Struthio camelus: one gene and its partner. The protein of the gene in region 1 interacts with the protein of each later gene in a pairwise test. Links are inferred from orthologs where the notes say so. Each region holds a gene or a part of one and is shown on either strand. Other genes may lie near its edges.

Region 1 (6,869 bases):
CTTCACTTTTCTTTGTTTTTTTTTTTTTATTTTGCAGTGAAGTATAATTACTTGTAAGGCAAATTTTGCAACCGTACATAGAAACACTCTAGGGAAAAATAACAACATAGGGAATTTTTTTCTTTTTATAGCAGCTAGTTTTAATCCTGACTTTCCTTATATGTAACAAAGAGAAGGGTAACATGCTTCTTCAGGGCATTCTTTTTTAAACATAAACCTTGGAAAAACGCGGACGGTAGAGAGAGACGTTTTGTGAAGGAGCAACCAGGAAAGTTCGGTTATCTGGGGAGTGACCTGTGTGCTAGGGAAGAGAGTCACTGCACAAACGTATGTGGAAATTCCCACTGAAACAAAAGTGAAGATAACGTTTCTTTGCTTATGTTATGCAAAGTCAGTAAGTTCAAAGACGGTGCATTTCACTTAAATGCGTGTGCTCAAAACCCTTCTAAAATCAAAGCAAAATTGAAGCTAGACATCTCAGGCTAAAATATTTGTAAAGCCAACAACAGAAACTGTAATATTTTCTATTACGTGGGAAACTACTAGATTAGAAAGACAGTAAGAGAGGAGTGAACAATTTCAAAGATGCCTACAAACATTAGACACGATCAGAAGTCTTAGGTTCTGAAGGCCCTGCTTAAATTTAAAACAAAATCTTGAAAAAAGAACAAATAGTTAGGACAAAGAGCACTGTACGGATTCCCAATTCTTATATTTCTAGGATAACAGTCCCACAACAAGGCAAGCTGAAACTCCTCAGTGTAAGCTTTTGGCTGTCAGGACTCTGCTATCTGTATCATGTCCTGCAAAATTTATAGTGGCCCAAAAGAAAGATTTTCAGCCCACTAACATTCTAGAGTTCACAAGTTCTTTACCTTAAAGGCAATTCTTTCTCCCACTTGTGGCGGGGCAGCTAGAAGAGGTAATACGCTATAGTTTCTCTTGGGGACCTCCACAGGATTCTGTGAAAGAAACAGTAAACCTACTGATGTAATTACTGTATTAATAAAAACAGAAGACAATGTTTGTGCTGTGTGAACTGGAGGAAATTCTGAGAAGGTTAAGGTACAGATTTAAGTGTTTTGTATTAAGAAATACAATTCAGTCATTTAAATATTACTTCATAAACACTTCCTCAGGCTGCTAAACAGAAATACTCTAACTATGAGGTTTATTACATCAAAAGACTATAATCTCTTTCTGCTTCTATAACAATGCACATCTTATACATCATCTTTGTACAGTTCAAACTGCAAGAGAAAGGTGACTAACGAGTGCGTAAGTCCCTCACCTGCACAAGAACTGAAGTGTTTGTCACTGCTTCATTTAACTGCCTCTGTTTCTGGCCTTCAGTTTCGTAGTTATAGAAAAAGCCCTGGTTTTCTCCTCTCCCACGGCCGCGGCCCCTCGTCATCCCGCGAAACCCGCGGCCCCTCGGTCCTCTCCAGAAGTTTTCATCTCCTGTTCCTCGCCCCCTTCCAAGAGCTGGGCTGGGAAATGCTCCTTGAACGCTGGCTGGCGACTGTTTATCACTGTTTCTTACTACAGAATTACTTGGTCCAGCATTTGCTTTGGGTTTTTTAACAACTTTTTCTGAATCTGAACTATCAGACTCTGAAGAAGAGGCCTGTGCTTTGGGAGCCTTCGGGGTACTGTTTTTTACAGCGGCTGCATTATTAGGCAATGGCTTTTTCTTTGTGCTACTGTTTTGTGCTGTTGCCACTTTGTCATCCTCTGCGCTTGAGTCAGAATCTGAACTAGAGCACTCGGCCTTTTTAGATTTTTTACTAACTGCAGTCTTAGTGGAGTTTTCAGCTTTAGACTTTGCAGTCACTTTACCAGAAACAACAGTTTTCACATCAGAATTTGCAGCAACTTGGGATGCGTTTCTGGGAAGCGTTGCCACCACAGGTTTATGGGAAGATTCATTTTGCTTTACATTTACTTCGCTGCTGTCAGTGTCAGATGATGTGCTGGAGGAATCTGAATCTGAAGGTCCTACCCTCTTGTTCCTGGATTGTGTGGTGATTTTTTTGGTGTTATTTTTACCAGAATTTAGAGAAAAGCTGTCATTCATCTGTTCTAAACCCATCTTTGCTCCAGTGGCCTTTGTGTGCTTTCCATCCTTCCTTTTTGTTGCCAACTCTTTCTCCCTCTCTGCTTTTTTAAGCTTTTTTAATTGGTCAGTAGAGCTCTCCTCCTTACCTTCTGTGAGTCTCTCTCTTCCACTAATTTCTTCCTTCCTTTTTCTTTTCTTGTACTTTTTTTGAGAGTCCCAACTATTTACAGAGGTTTCTTCCCTACAAGAGGAATACTCAGGACTATGTTTATTCCTTTTCTTTTCCCTTTTGTGCCTGTCTTCTTCGCTTCTAGGCGATCCTTCCTCCTCCAGCTTTTCTCCATGCCTTTTTTTGTCTTGCCTTGTGGTACAGAAGAAGCCGTGGTCTACCTCTTCGGAATCATCTGCCACCACCTCTTCCAATTTCACCCTGTCAAAAAGCCAAACCGACAGGCCGCGGTCAGCACCCGGGCCGCGCTCGGAGCCTTCAGCCGAGAGCCGGGGCACCGCGGTCTCCGCCACGGGGGCCGCTGTCCCACGCCGGAGCCCCGGGCGGACCCGGCCCCTTTCTCGCACCTCTCCCCCCTTTTATTCCCCCCCCCGCACTCGGGTTTTTTCGCCCCCGGCCGTACCGCAGGGAGTCGTTGTCCCGCACGAGGCGGGCGCTCTCGGTGGGGGGCAGCAGCGCCCCCTCCAGGAAGAGGCTGAGGCGGGCCCGGCGGCTGAAGCCGAAGCGGTGGCGGATGAGGCTGAGCAGGTCGGTGACGAGGCGCACCTGGCCGGGCTCCAGCAGCAGCCAGCACAGCGCGCAGCCCGGGCTGCCCGGCGGCGGGTAGTCGAACAGCAGCCGCAGCCGCACCGGGCCGCCGCCGCCGCCGCCGGCCGCCGCCATCTTAGGGGGAGGAGGAGGAGGAGGAGGAAGGGCAGCGGAGGGAGGGCGGGCAGACGGCGCCGCGCGTGGGACAAAAGGGGCGGGCGGCGCGGGAGCCGCGGCCGCGCCCCCTGCCGGCCGGCGGGCGGGGCGCGCGCTCCCCTCCGCTGCGCGCGTGACGGCGGCGCGTGAGGCAGCGGGAGCCGCCGCCGCGATGGAGCCGCCACCGCGCACCGCCGCGGGGCGGCTGCTGCTGCTGCTGGCGGCGCTGCCGCCGCTGCCGCCGGTGGCCGGTACGGGCCGGGCCGGGGCTCCGGGCGCGGCTCTTCAGGCGGGGTCGCCCTGGGGGCCCCCGAGCCGGCCGCGCTGGCGGAGGCCGCCGCCGCCGGGGTGGGGGGGAGGGGAGAGAGGAGGCGGCGGCAGCTTCCTCGGGGCCGTGACAGGACTCGGTGTCCGCGCGGGCTAGATGGGGTCGCCGGGAGGGAGCCCCGGTTCCCGCGGCGTTTCCGGGAGGCCGCCAGCGCCGCCCCGCCCTGCCCGAGCGCCCGAAAGCGTCCCCGGCCGACGGGACGGGACAGGACGGCCGCGGCCCCCCGGCGGGGCCGCGATGTCCCTCCGCCCCTCGGCCGCGCGGCGCTGCCAGCGGTAGCGTTTTCCAGTGGACGCGCTTCTACTTACCGCGCCTCCGGAGCCCGTCTGGGGGCGAGCCGGCAGCTGATCCGCTGGTGCCCAGCTCCCTCCTTCCTTCCGTCTCTGGTGGTTTCCAGGTGCGGTACGGAAGCAGTCCCGAGAGCCCAAGGAGCTGTGGGGCTACGTGCAAGTGCGAAACAAGGCCCACATGTTCTGGTGGCTCTACTACGCCGACGGCCCCACCGAGGACTTCACAAAGCTGCCTCTCGTCTTGTGGCTGCAGGTGAGGTCTGGTGGAAGAGGCTTTACGACGAGTTCCGCTTTTCTTCCGCGCCCGGTTCAGCGTGAGGGGTCTCCTGCAGCTCCGCAGAGGTAGCGCTGAGGGTCGTCTGACTCTGGGTGACTCCTGACTAGTGAGCGAGGTGCTCCGGTCAGGGAGGCATAGCGAAAATACCATCCGTGCTTGTGGGGGGCCCTCAGCTGCTCACCTTCTATCGCGTCAAGAGCTTACAAGAGTAGATAAAGTGATTAGAGATTTAGGAACTTTGGTATATGAAAGCAGGTAAGGGAGACTGATTGTTTAGAGCTTGATCTCGTTCAATTGCGGGTGATAAGAAGCAGTGATATGTGCTCCACGTTCACCTCCAGCAGTACACTTCAGGAGTTAATGCTGAATATAATCAGAAAATGACTTGGTCTTTCTCCTTCTGGGTTATTCCTTTGGAGTGAAAGGCATATGCTGTACACGTTGATTAAAAGCGGTAGCTAGCACCCATTGGCATATAGCTAACTTCTGCATCCCTTATGAAGGGAATAAGGGGAACGGTTTTCAAACTGCACTTGCATAAGGTGATTCATTAGATGCTTTCACAAATGGGTCATTGCTTCCCTCTTACATCTTTGCCTTCAGAAATAGCATGTGTACACAAAATGAAAGAAAAGGAGGAAGAAAGCCTTCTTTGGAAATGAGCATGTAGTGCAAAAGATATTTTTTTATTTTAAAATATGTCATTCTACTGGTTTGCTTTTATTCTCCTGTCTCTCATATCCATACCATGCTGCCTTTTAACTTATTCCTCACTTCTTATCTTCCCCCCTTAGGGAGGTCCAGGATCTTCAGGCTGTGGATTTGGAAACTTTGAAGAGATTGGTCCATTAGACAAAGAAATGAAACCAAGAAATACAACCTGGGTATAGCAAAGAGTTCAGCTTCTAATTATTCACTGAAAGGCATGCTTATTGCTTGGGCAAGCAGGTGATTGCTAAGCAAAAATGCCCACAAAAAAGCTTTAATTTTAAACTCAGTAGAACTATGATATTTCATCTTGAAATAATGTGGTCAATAAAATGGCTTATCCAAATAGTCTTGCTAAGAAACGAAGAATAGGCCTATTCATTTGATTCGGAGACTATCTGGGCTTGCATAAATTTGTGAATTGCAAATGGCTGGGAAACTGAAAATAGGGAAATTCTAGAAAGATGTTATTTCAGATCATAGCTTACGGGCGTATAAGCAGTGGCTTCCAACTATGAGTCCAGTATGGCCTTCAAGGGACACCAAATTACAGCTGTCGGTGAAGTTAGAGGTTTATTCACCAGAAGGTTCGCGTGCTCTGCACAACCAGTCGTCTAATGCCTGTATTAGTCTGTGTTTCTCTGGATCATCTGGGTGATGGGTGCCTTTGGATGATGGGTGCCTTTCTTTCGCAGACCGGGCAAATCAAAAGATCTTATGTTGTACTTTATTTATGAGCTCTTTCTGCTTTGAGCCATGTTAGCCCTCTCTGTGCTGATATATTGGTTTTATTTGTACATTTGTAAGTGTATAACTAAGCATTTCCTGTAGCAATTTGACAAAAGCACCCAAAAGAAAAACTCATTGTTTAATTTCTTACTTCACATTCTAACAGACAAAAGTGCCCCCGTACCATTCTCTGATGTTAGACATGCACTTCACTTTTCTGCAAGTCATTTCATAATCAGAGAGTCAATGGCTCAGACGTTTATGCTGTCAAAACCAAAGTCTGCACCTACGCTCTGCTGGTAGCTGACCTGAGATTTCATGCGACCCTTCTTTCTGCTTGTACAGTTGCAGGCAGCCAGTATCCTGTTTGTGGATAATCCTGTGGGTACTGGATTCAGTTATGTAGATGACTGTAGCTTGTTTGCCAAAAACCTTACTGCAGTAGTCTCCGATATGATGGTTTTTCTTGGAGAATTCTTCAAGTCTAGGACAGAATTCCAGGTAAGTGATTTGAATTCTTGGATAGTCTCACATTTTTCTTTGCTTTTAGGCAGATCTCAAAAGAAAGCTAGAAAGAGGGCGTGAACAGCCTTCTAGATGGGCACTGTTTGCTACTAGGTAGCCCACAGCTGGTGGGAGGTACCGCAGGTATAACCAGCGCCCTCTGTTTCCCGCAACTCAAAAGTGGTATCTCAAATTGCTGTCTTGGGAGGCAGTTAGATGAGCAAAGGGGTGGATTATTGTGTCCATTGCTATCAGAGGAGCATGTAGGACCAGGGATGTTTTTAATTCCAAAATACTGAAGTGCCTGCTTCAAAACTTTCCCCAGTAATTACACCAGGAAGTTGTAGAAATCTCATCTTGCAAGTCAGAATCAGAAAACATTCGGTGTTTCGTTCTGGGAGGCGAAGAGCCAGAGCCCAGGGTCTGTGGGCCATTGGATAGGGGGTGGAGAGGGGGTTTGTTGTGCCCTGGGCCTAATGGGTTTATTGTCTTCTCTCTCCAGACCATCCCATTCTACATATTTTCTGAATCTTATGGAGGGAAAATGGCTGCTGGCGTTGCTTTAGAGTTGCATGAGGTAAGTAGTTGGAGGATCTAGTGCATTTTTCACTTAAAAATGTGGTATCCTACAAGTACTTAAGGAGATCTAAGTTCTAGAGTCGTGGACATCTAAGTAAAAGCTGTTTTTTTGTTTGTTTTCTCTGATGTGCCAAGGCTGTCCAAAAGGGGAGCATAAAATGCAATTTTGTTGGGGTTGCTCTTGGAGACTCGTGGATTTCTCCTCTAGGTATGTTCAAAATCTTCAGACTGTGTGTGTATGTGTGGTTGGTTTATTTGTTTGTTTTAATTGTTCCATGAGTATCTGAGTCAAAAAATGCCAGCCATGAATTAAATCTCTAGTGAGCCCGGTAAATCAAATCACCAAAAAGAAATATTTAAACATTGCAAGCTGTGACTGAAGAGATCTCCCTTTAGAACACATCCAGATTACGAAAGCTCTGAGAACAAAGTCAGTGAGGAGCATACTCGCATCTGAAGTGGGGCGGTAGCAAAATGTCCCT
Region 2 (6,854 bases), on another chromosome or scaffold:
TGCTTCCCGGGGTTACGCGGCGGCGGCCGCAGCAGGCTCTGCGGGTTGCGGGGCTGCTGCGGGCTTGCAAGCTCTATGAGGCAATACCGAAATATCCCATTCATTCCCAGGGACCGGGGCCTTGGCCCTTGTCCAGCGGCGCCGTAAACTTGTAAAACTGATGGATCGGTTTCCCAAAGGTCTTCATTACCGAGGCTTCTGACTTCTCAGCAACTGGAACGGTCCCCTAAAACGTTCAGAGCATCTAAGACGGTTACAACAAGCTTACGGTGAGCGTTGCCTAGGGGCTCGGGCCCATCTTCTCTTCCCAGCGTTTCCTTGCTCTGTCGTACCCAGCGCAGGACAGTTGGACGTGACTCTCTCGGGGCTGATCTCTGTCAACAGGAAGAAGTCACTTTTGAAAGAAATGTAGTGCCGCGGCTCCCTCAAAGGCAGCAAACACCACTTAGGCACCGTGACAAACGCGTGCGAGTACATCCCAGGTTGGTTTGACAAATCTCGGACTCTGGGGTGAGCTGGCAGCATAAATGCGTGCTTAATTCAGTTTCAAATATAATTCTGGCAAAAAGTGTGAATTCAGCTTTAGGGGACTCTTTTACTTTGTTTCTTTTTTTTTTTTAATGATATAAAATCCAAGGCTGTGCGTACCTCTGGTCTCTCTAGGCTCCTCTGCTTTGCTCTCCCTGTCCCTCCCTGCGGTTCAGGCAACCGATTCCACATTGAAGCCGTCGTCCGTTTTGCTGGTTTGCAGAGCACCGTCCAGACTGCGTAGGTGCGCTGCCTTTGCACATGGCGTGCAGCTACCGTTTTAGCCAAAAAAAAAAAAAAAGGGGTGGGGGGGGGAAGGTTGTTTTTAATGCGTTTCTGATTTGGAAATGTGGAACAGGATTTGAATGTAGTTATAATGGTACGAGTATATCGGTTTGGGGGGTTGGAAGCGTTGCGCGTGCGTGCTTCCGGAGGGTAAAAGCTGCCCCCTTCCCCTTCGGTTTCAGGCAAATAGAGCCGAAGCAGCACGCTGCTCCCCGGCGGCTGTGGCAGTGCCGCTCGAGCCAGGCGTCCTTGGCCATCCCAGAGGGATCCTGCTCTCCACCGACGGCCTTCCCACTGGCCGGACGGGTAGCGCGATGGTTTCCATCGTCCTTGAGTCGGCCACCTCCTTCCAGAGGAGCAGGCGAAAGGTCCGGAAACGTAATTCAGCGGGCGGATGCCCAAACTCCCCCCGGGCGAAGGCTGCCCGTGCGGGAACGGCTGTGACTGGGCTGGTTTTTTTTGGCAGGACAGCCTGCCGATGGCAACGGCTGGGGCCAAAAAAAGAAGAAGAAGAAGGGCACTTTGAAGCACTCGTCAGATGTAAACGTGATGGGGATGGCAGGCTGCAGTACCTCGGACAGGAGAGGCTCAGGCACGGGGACGCTTCCTTGACTCCTGCCGGCTAGAGAGGCAGGATGCTCCCAAGAGCCTCCAGTCCCTTCTGCTCTTCTTAATTTGTGTGTTGCTTTTTGGCCAAAAACGCCGGCCGGGCGCGGGGTTTCGCTCTTCTGCCAGCGACGCACCGAGCTGTGCGACAGCCACCCTTGCAGCGCCAACGAGGCGGCCAGGGTTTTGGCAAACGGCAAGAGGGATATAAATCATGTTAACATGATTCCCACGTGAATATACCGCTGGTGTGTGTAAACGCGCTACAAATTCTTAAAATGTATAAATATCAGCTTCTCTGGGTGTGTTTTTTTTTTTCCCCTCCATTCCCCTTTGTCAGAAAGGATTAGAGGTATTTTATTTACTGTGGGAATAGCTTTAAGTTGCTCTAGTGTTTTTTATGGGCAGCAGCTAAAAATAAGACCTTTTTGACATGTTCTCAGATCTTATTACGCACACGGTTGGATTCAGCATTTTCCGGAGAAATACAGCTTTAGAGGCGCTTGCAAAGGCCTAGCGAGGCTTCTCTACGTGCTGGGTTTTTTTCTACTGATTTACCTAAACAGTTATAAAATCCAGTTGAATTAAATCAGTGCAATATGCCAACTATTTTTTTTTTAATCGATGCTGGTATGAATAATAATAATTTTGTGGCAGCACCAGCATCCGTCCAGCCCGGTGCGGGGGCTGCTCCCTCCCTCGCTAAGGCAATATGTTACACGGACAATTAGAGGCGAAGCTGCATCTCCTCTCCCATGACGTTAATTAATATAAATAAGCGCGAGGATGGCTCCGAGGGTTTTGGTGTTTACCTGCCCGGCCCTACAGAACTGGTGGTCGTGGCGGTGCGTCGCGCGCAGCTTGAAGACGACACTCGGCAGTTCCTCCCTCTGCAAGAGGTGGACCGTAACTAAACCTCCCCAGACCCCAGATTTCTGCCCAAACCATTCCCGGGTGCTCGGGGGAAGGACACTGAAGCAAGCGGCTCGCTTCAGCAGCTGGGAGGGTGGCTGTGGTGTAGGAGAGCGAAGGGGGTAAGTCAGCCCGGGGCAGGGTGACCCAGCGGTTCACGGCTACTCGGGAGCTTGGCAGGACCTGCTGGAAGGCTTTATCCGACGTGGATGTGGCTTCTCGTGTCCCCTAAAATTAAAAGATTTACTAGTTGTTTTACGGGTTTGGTTGGGAGGGCAAGCGCTTGTCCCGCGCCTGCCGGCGTTATCGTGTGGCTACGAACGTTTCGTCCGAAACGCTCAGCCTGCTGAAGTCGAGGCAGGTTCCCGCGACGGCAGCGCGGCCCTTTGCCCCGAGAAGGGGGCAACGGAGCAGGTGGAAGTAGCTGAGGGGCCCGGGTGAAGGACCAGGCTTTAAACGGCCTGTTCGGCCGAGTCGCTGCGATGGAGGCAAGCCGTAACCCGCGCGCGGTGCCCTCGTTTACAAAATTCATCAGAATTTTGGGGGACGTAATAAATAAAGGATGCTGCAGCAGTAAATGCTACTTTTCCTTTAGAAAGGAATGCATTACTCAAGAAAAATCAAAAAAAAAGATGAAGAAGAAATCGAGCTGGAAAGAAGACAATAAATCTCTTTATAACCTGAAGAGCTCTAAGGTCGCTAGCTCCCTACAGTGGGAAGAGCCACGCTGTTAACGTCTTAATTTAATGAACGCCACTAGCTTAAAAACCGGAATGGCCACCGACATCGCGAGCGAACTGCACGCAGCCGAGGCCTGAGGCTGCAGAAATTAGAAACAGCAATGCAAGAAAACGTGTGTGCTGGAAAAAAGGTGTTGATGAGAAGTGAAGATGCTGGCATGCCAGAGGTATCTTTCCAAACCAGGGGCAGGAAAAAGCAAAAGCAAAGTGCTTCTGCGACACCGGTTCTAAGCAGGTTAGGATTCAGCGTGACTCGAGAAAAAAAATTTGCCGTGCGTCGCTGTCAAAAGCTTATTTCGGCCTCTGTTTCTGAGAAACGCTTGGAACACGTCGAATTTTTTCCACTGTTTGGCCAGAGAATTATCTCGGAGCTGGTAACAGCCCGTTAGGCCACAGACAAATATTCACGTTAACCGCTCTAAAGAGCAGCTTACTTAACGCTGAACTCTGGCCGCGCGCTAGCTGGAAGCGCTTGCCTTGACCTCACCCCTAGGAGAAAAGCAAAAATGCAGGTAGCCGTGCGGTGCAACTACGGCTTGGAGATCGGTGTCTGGGCGCGCAGGAAGCCACTGCCTGGCTCAGCTACTGTCTGATCAGGAATTATGTTATTGTGCATTGTTAAGCTGGTCGTAATTTATGGGCTGTTTTTCCTACGGCTTTTTGTATTCCACAGCCGCCGGTGGTTTTCCCTCTGTGTCCGGGTTGGTTGTGGCGTGCCCGTTATCTGGCACCCAGGGCACGTCGTTAGCCTTCAAACAGGACTTAAGCGCCGAAGTACCGTGGAGATGTGCTGTACCTGCAAGGCTAGCTGACTGCTGCGTTTGATTAGTTCCCAGACTTCCTCCTTCCGCGTTCAGGAGGAAAAATGCAAGCGCCGTCTAAAATACGGTCCGGGCAGGAAGAAGAGGGCGGTTGCAGTTCTTCTGGCTGACGCTGAGGTTTTTCCTCACCTTGCTATCTTTTTATGTCGTTTTCCAGCCCCAAGGGGAAGCTGTCTCCGAGAGGAGAGAGGCATTTGAAAAGCGACCAAGAACAGAGGGATCTCCAGCTAACGAGCTGTCTCTAATTTCTGCGCCCGGGCTCTGGAGGCTGCGTTTCTCCAGCGGGAAACGGATCTGTATTTGCCTCAAATTGCTCATGCTGTAGGTTGGGTGGTGATGACTGACGGCCTCGAGCGGGGAGTCGCATCGGCTGGGGGGGCAGCGGGTAGGTACGGAGCACGGGGGCAAAGCGCCTCCCGTGTCGCCGCAGCCTGTCGCCACTGCTGACTTTGCTGCGGCGCCTACCGGCAAAAGTCCCTCTGCAGCTTTTCCTTTAATCCTGACCAATTAAAGCAGCGCAGACTTGCAGGCATTAACTCGAGCGAGCTGTTCCTCTGCTGAGAAAAGCTGAAGGCTTTTGGCAAACTGGAAGCAGAAAAGGCTATATAAATATGCGTGTGTGTGTGTGTGTATCTATATATATATATATATATGTATATATATGCATGCATTTATATATATGTATGTATATATTTATGTATTTTATTAACGTGGCTAGCTGGTATGCTAGCGTGCGTGCCGCAGACAGGACGGCAGAGCGGGGCACCGGGAGCAGGTTTCTACCCCACCGGTCGGCGCAGGGACGCGCCGACCTTGGAGGCGTCACGTGAGCCGTGCCGGGGAGTGGGATCCTGGAGCTTTCTGTAATAACCGAAACAGCACGGGAGTGACCTCAGGCCCTTGTGACACAATGAAAAATCACTGCGGTGGGGAATTTTTACCTCCATGAATTGAAGTCATGTGAGAGAGCCTGGCTGTGTAACGGGGGTTTTCAGTTTTGCCTGATTAGAGATACTTAACAGGAAAAGAGCGGAGTGAAAGACAGGACGGGTTCCCGAAGGGCGCGTTAGCCTGGGTTTTATACGGTTTTATTTTTCTGAGAGGCGTTTAGCGTAGTCGCGGGGCAGAGCCCGGCGTGCCGAGGGGGCCGGGGGCGGCGGAGGGCTTCGTGCGCCTTGGCGGGCGGTAGGTGGGCGTTCACCCTTGCCCCCTCTGCACTTTCAGCTCAGCACACCCCGAGTCGGAGGGAGGGCTTGCAATTTACTCACGGCCACTTCATACCTATTTGTTCTTGCGCCAGCACCGTCTTTTGGCTTAAACGACTCCTGGGCCTCGCTGGCCTTGGCCGCCTGGACGTTACGTCCCTGTCAGTCCTGGTGTTAGTCTGCCTTAGGTACGCCAAGCTCGCCCTTTTTTTCTTCCCCTGAGGCAGGTCCCCGCTCTGCCAGGAGCTCGCCCCTGCGGCTGCAGAGACGGGCTGGGTGGGCTGCGCTCTGCACCTCCGCGTGTGTTTGTGCAGCGGGGTATGTTGTGCCCCTGGGTGTATTTGTGCATTGTGCAGCGGGGTATATTGCACCCCCGGGGTGTACCCCCCTCGTCCCCCCAAGGCAAAAGTGGGCCTCAATTTCCGAGGCAGCCTGGGGGTGGGCGGCAGGGGCCCTGGGCCCCCCCTTGCCCAGCAGAGCCGCAGCACAGCACGGAGAGCCCTTCCCTCTCCCCTCCCGTGCCTTTGCAGGTGCGCTTTTTGGGGTCGGAAGAGGAGAGCGAGAAGAAAAAGGTGAGTGTGCGTTTCCGCCTTTTAAAAAAAAAAAAAAAAAAAAGGAAAGAAATAAATTAAAATGGGGCCGGGCTGGGCCGGGCCGGGCCGGGCCGGGCCGGGGGAGGAGCGGCGGGGGCAGAGCGGGGGGAGGCGGAAGTGCCGACAAGAGCGGCGGCACCGCGCCGCCGCCCCGCAGACCGGCCGCGCGTGTCCCCGCCGCTCCGCTCCGCTCCGCGCCGCTCCGCGGGGTGAGTGTCCCCGGGGGGGGGGGGAACCGCGAGCGGCTCGCCTGGGCTCTTTTAATTCATCTCTCTCTTTTTTTTTTTTTTATTATTATTATTATTTTGCGTGTGTGTTTGCATGCTCGTTTTCCGCAGGGGCGCGGCGTCCCAGGCCCGGCGCGGCGGTGAGGGGCACCCGCGGTGGGGGGGGTGGTGGTGGTGGTGGGTGCGCTTTAGGTTAAAACGCGCCTGCAGTGCCGTGCTGACGCCGGCGGGTCAAGGAGAGGAGAGGGGCGACGCGGGGTGATTCCCCCCCCCCCAGCCCCACAAAAGAAAAAAAAAATCTATACTTAATTAAAACGCTGTTTTTTTAGAAGGAGTTTGGTGCGCGGGACAAATTCGCCGCGGTCCTGGTTTTAGCGGTGATCTCGGGCTGTGGCCTCGGTGGGGCTGGGAGGGGAGAGGAGCGGCATCAGCTATAGCAGCCCCCCCGGGTCGCCTGCTTGAAAGGGCTGTTTTGTCGTAGCGTGAGCGGGGCTGCTGAGTTGCCCGTTTGGCTTAGAAACGAGCCGCAACGGGCAGCTCTCTTTTCGGGGGTGGTGGTGGTGGGGGGGGGGGGGTGTCCGGAGAGGCACGTCGCTGACTGCTTCCTCAGTAGGCGCCTTGAAAGGGAGATGGGGAGCCTGCCTGCTCCGCCGTCCCAGAAGCAGCGGTGCCTGCAAAATGAAAAAAAAAAAATAAAAATAAATCCCCACCTCGCCCCGCGGTGCGGGAATAGGTAAAAACTGAGCTGCGCAGCGCTCGGTGGCGTTGGCAGCGGGCGCGCTTCTGCGGCCCGGCAGCTCCACCTTAAATGTCACGCCGGCAGCGTGGCATCTCCCTGGGCCCCGGTGTAGCCTTACACCAGCGGCGCCCCGCGCTTCAGCCGTACAAAAATAGAAGGTGCCCGCTACCTAAGATGTCATTGTCGCCTTACTTATCT

Evidence for each region.
Region 2: the proteins of COIL (region 1) and PDZ and LIM domain protein 5 interact in binary tests that used the Homo sapiens proteins (3 or more experiments, as listed by UniProt). The two-hybrid records come from large-scale screens. The link is inferred for Struthio camelus from reciprocal best matches to the Homo sapiens genes COIL and PDLIM5.

What each region holds. Positions count from the first base shown.
Region 1 is NC_090960.1:5,473,228-5,480,096, reverse strand, and holds the start of COIL (coilin), read right to left. Parts: upstream 3,015-6,869; 5' UTR 2,952-3,014; coding exon 2,692-2,951; intron 2,490-2,691; coding exon 1,292-2,489; intron 963-1,291; coding exon 876-962; intron 1-875. Other genes in the region: SCPEP1 (retinoid-inducible serine carboxypeptidase), read left to right, coding at 3,145-3,223, 3,698-3,843, 4,662-4,751, 5,650-5,805, 6,311-6,385, 6,523-6,595. UniProt on the Homo sapiens protein: Component of nuclear coiled bodies, also known as Cajal bodies or CBs, which are involved in the modification and assembly of nucleoplasmic snRNPs.
Region 2 is NC_090945.1:15,049,470-15,056,323, forward strand, and holds the start of PDZ and LIM domain protein 5, read left to right. Parts: upstream 1-3,835; 5' UTR 3,836-3,959; intron 3,960-3,968; exon of another isoform or gene 3,969-4,049; 5' UTR 4,050-4,208; coding exon of another isoform or gene 4,209-4,213; 5' UTR 4,214-4,228; coding exon 4,229-4,277; intron 4,278-4,488; exon of another isoform or gene 4,489-4,503; coding exon of another isoform or gene 4,504-4,517; intron 4,518-4,725; exon of another isoform or gene 4,726-4,850; coding exon of another isoform or gene 4,851-4,852; intron 4,853-5,116; coding exon 5,117-5,285; intron 5,286-5,627; coding exon 5,628-5,669; intron 5,670-5,788; exon of another isoform or gene 5,789-5,899; intron 5,900-6,854. UniProt on the Homo sapiens protein: May play an important role in the heart development by scaffolding PKC to the Z-disk region. May play a role in the regulation of cardiomyocyte expansion. Isoforms lacking the LIM domains may negatively modulate the scaffolding activity of isoform 1.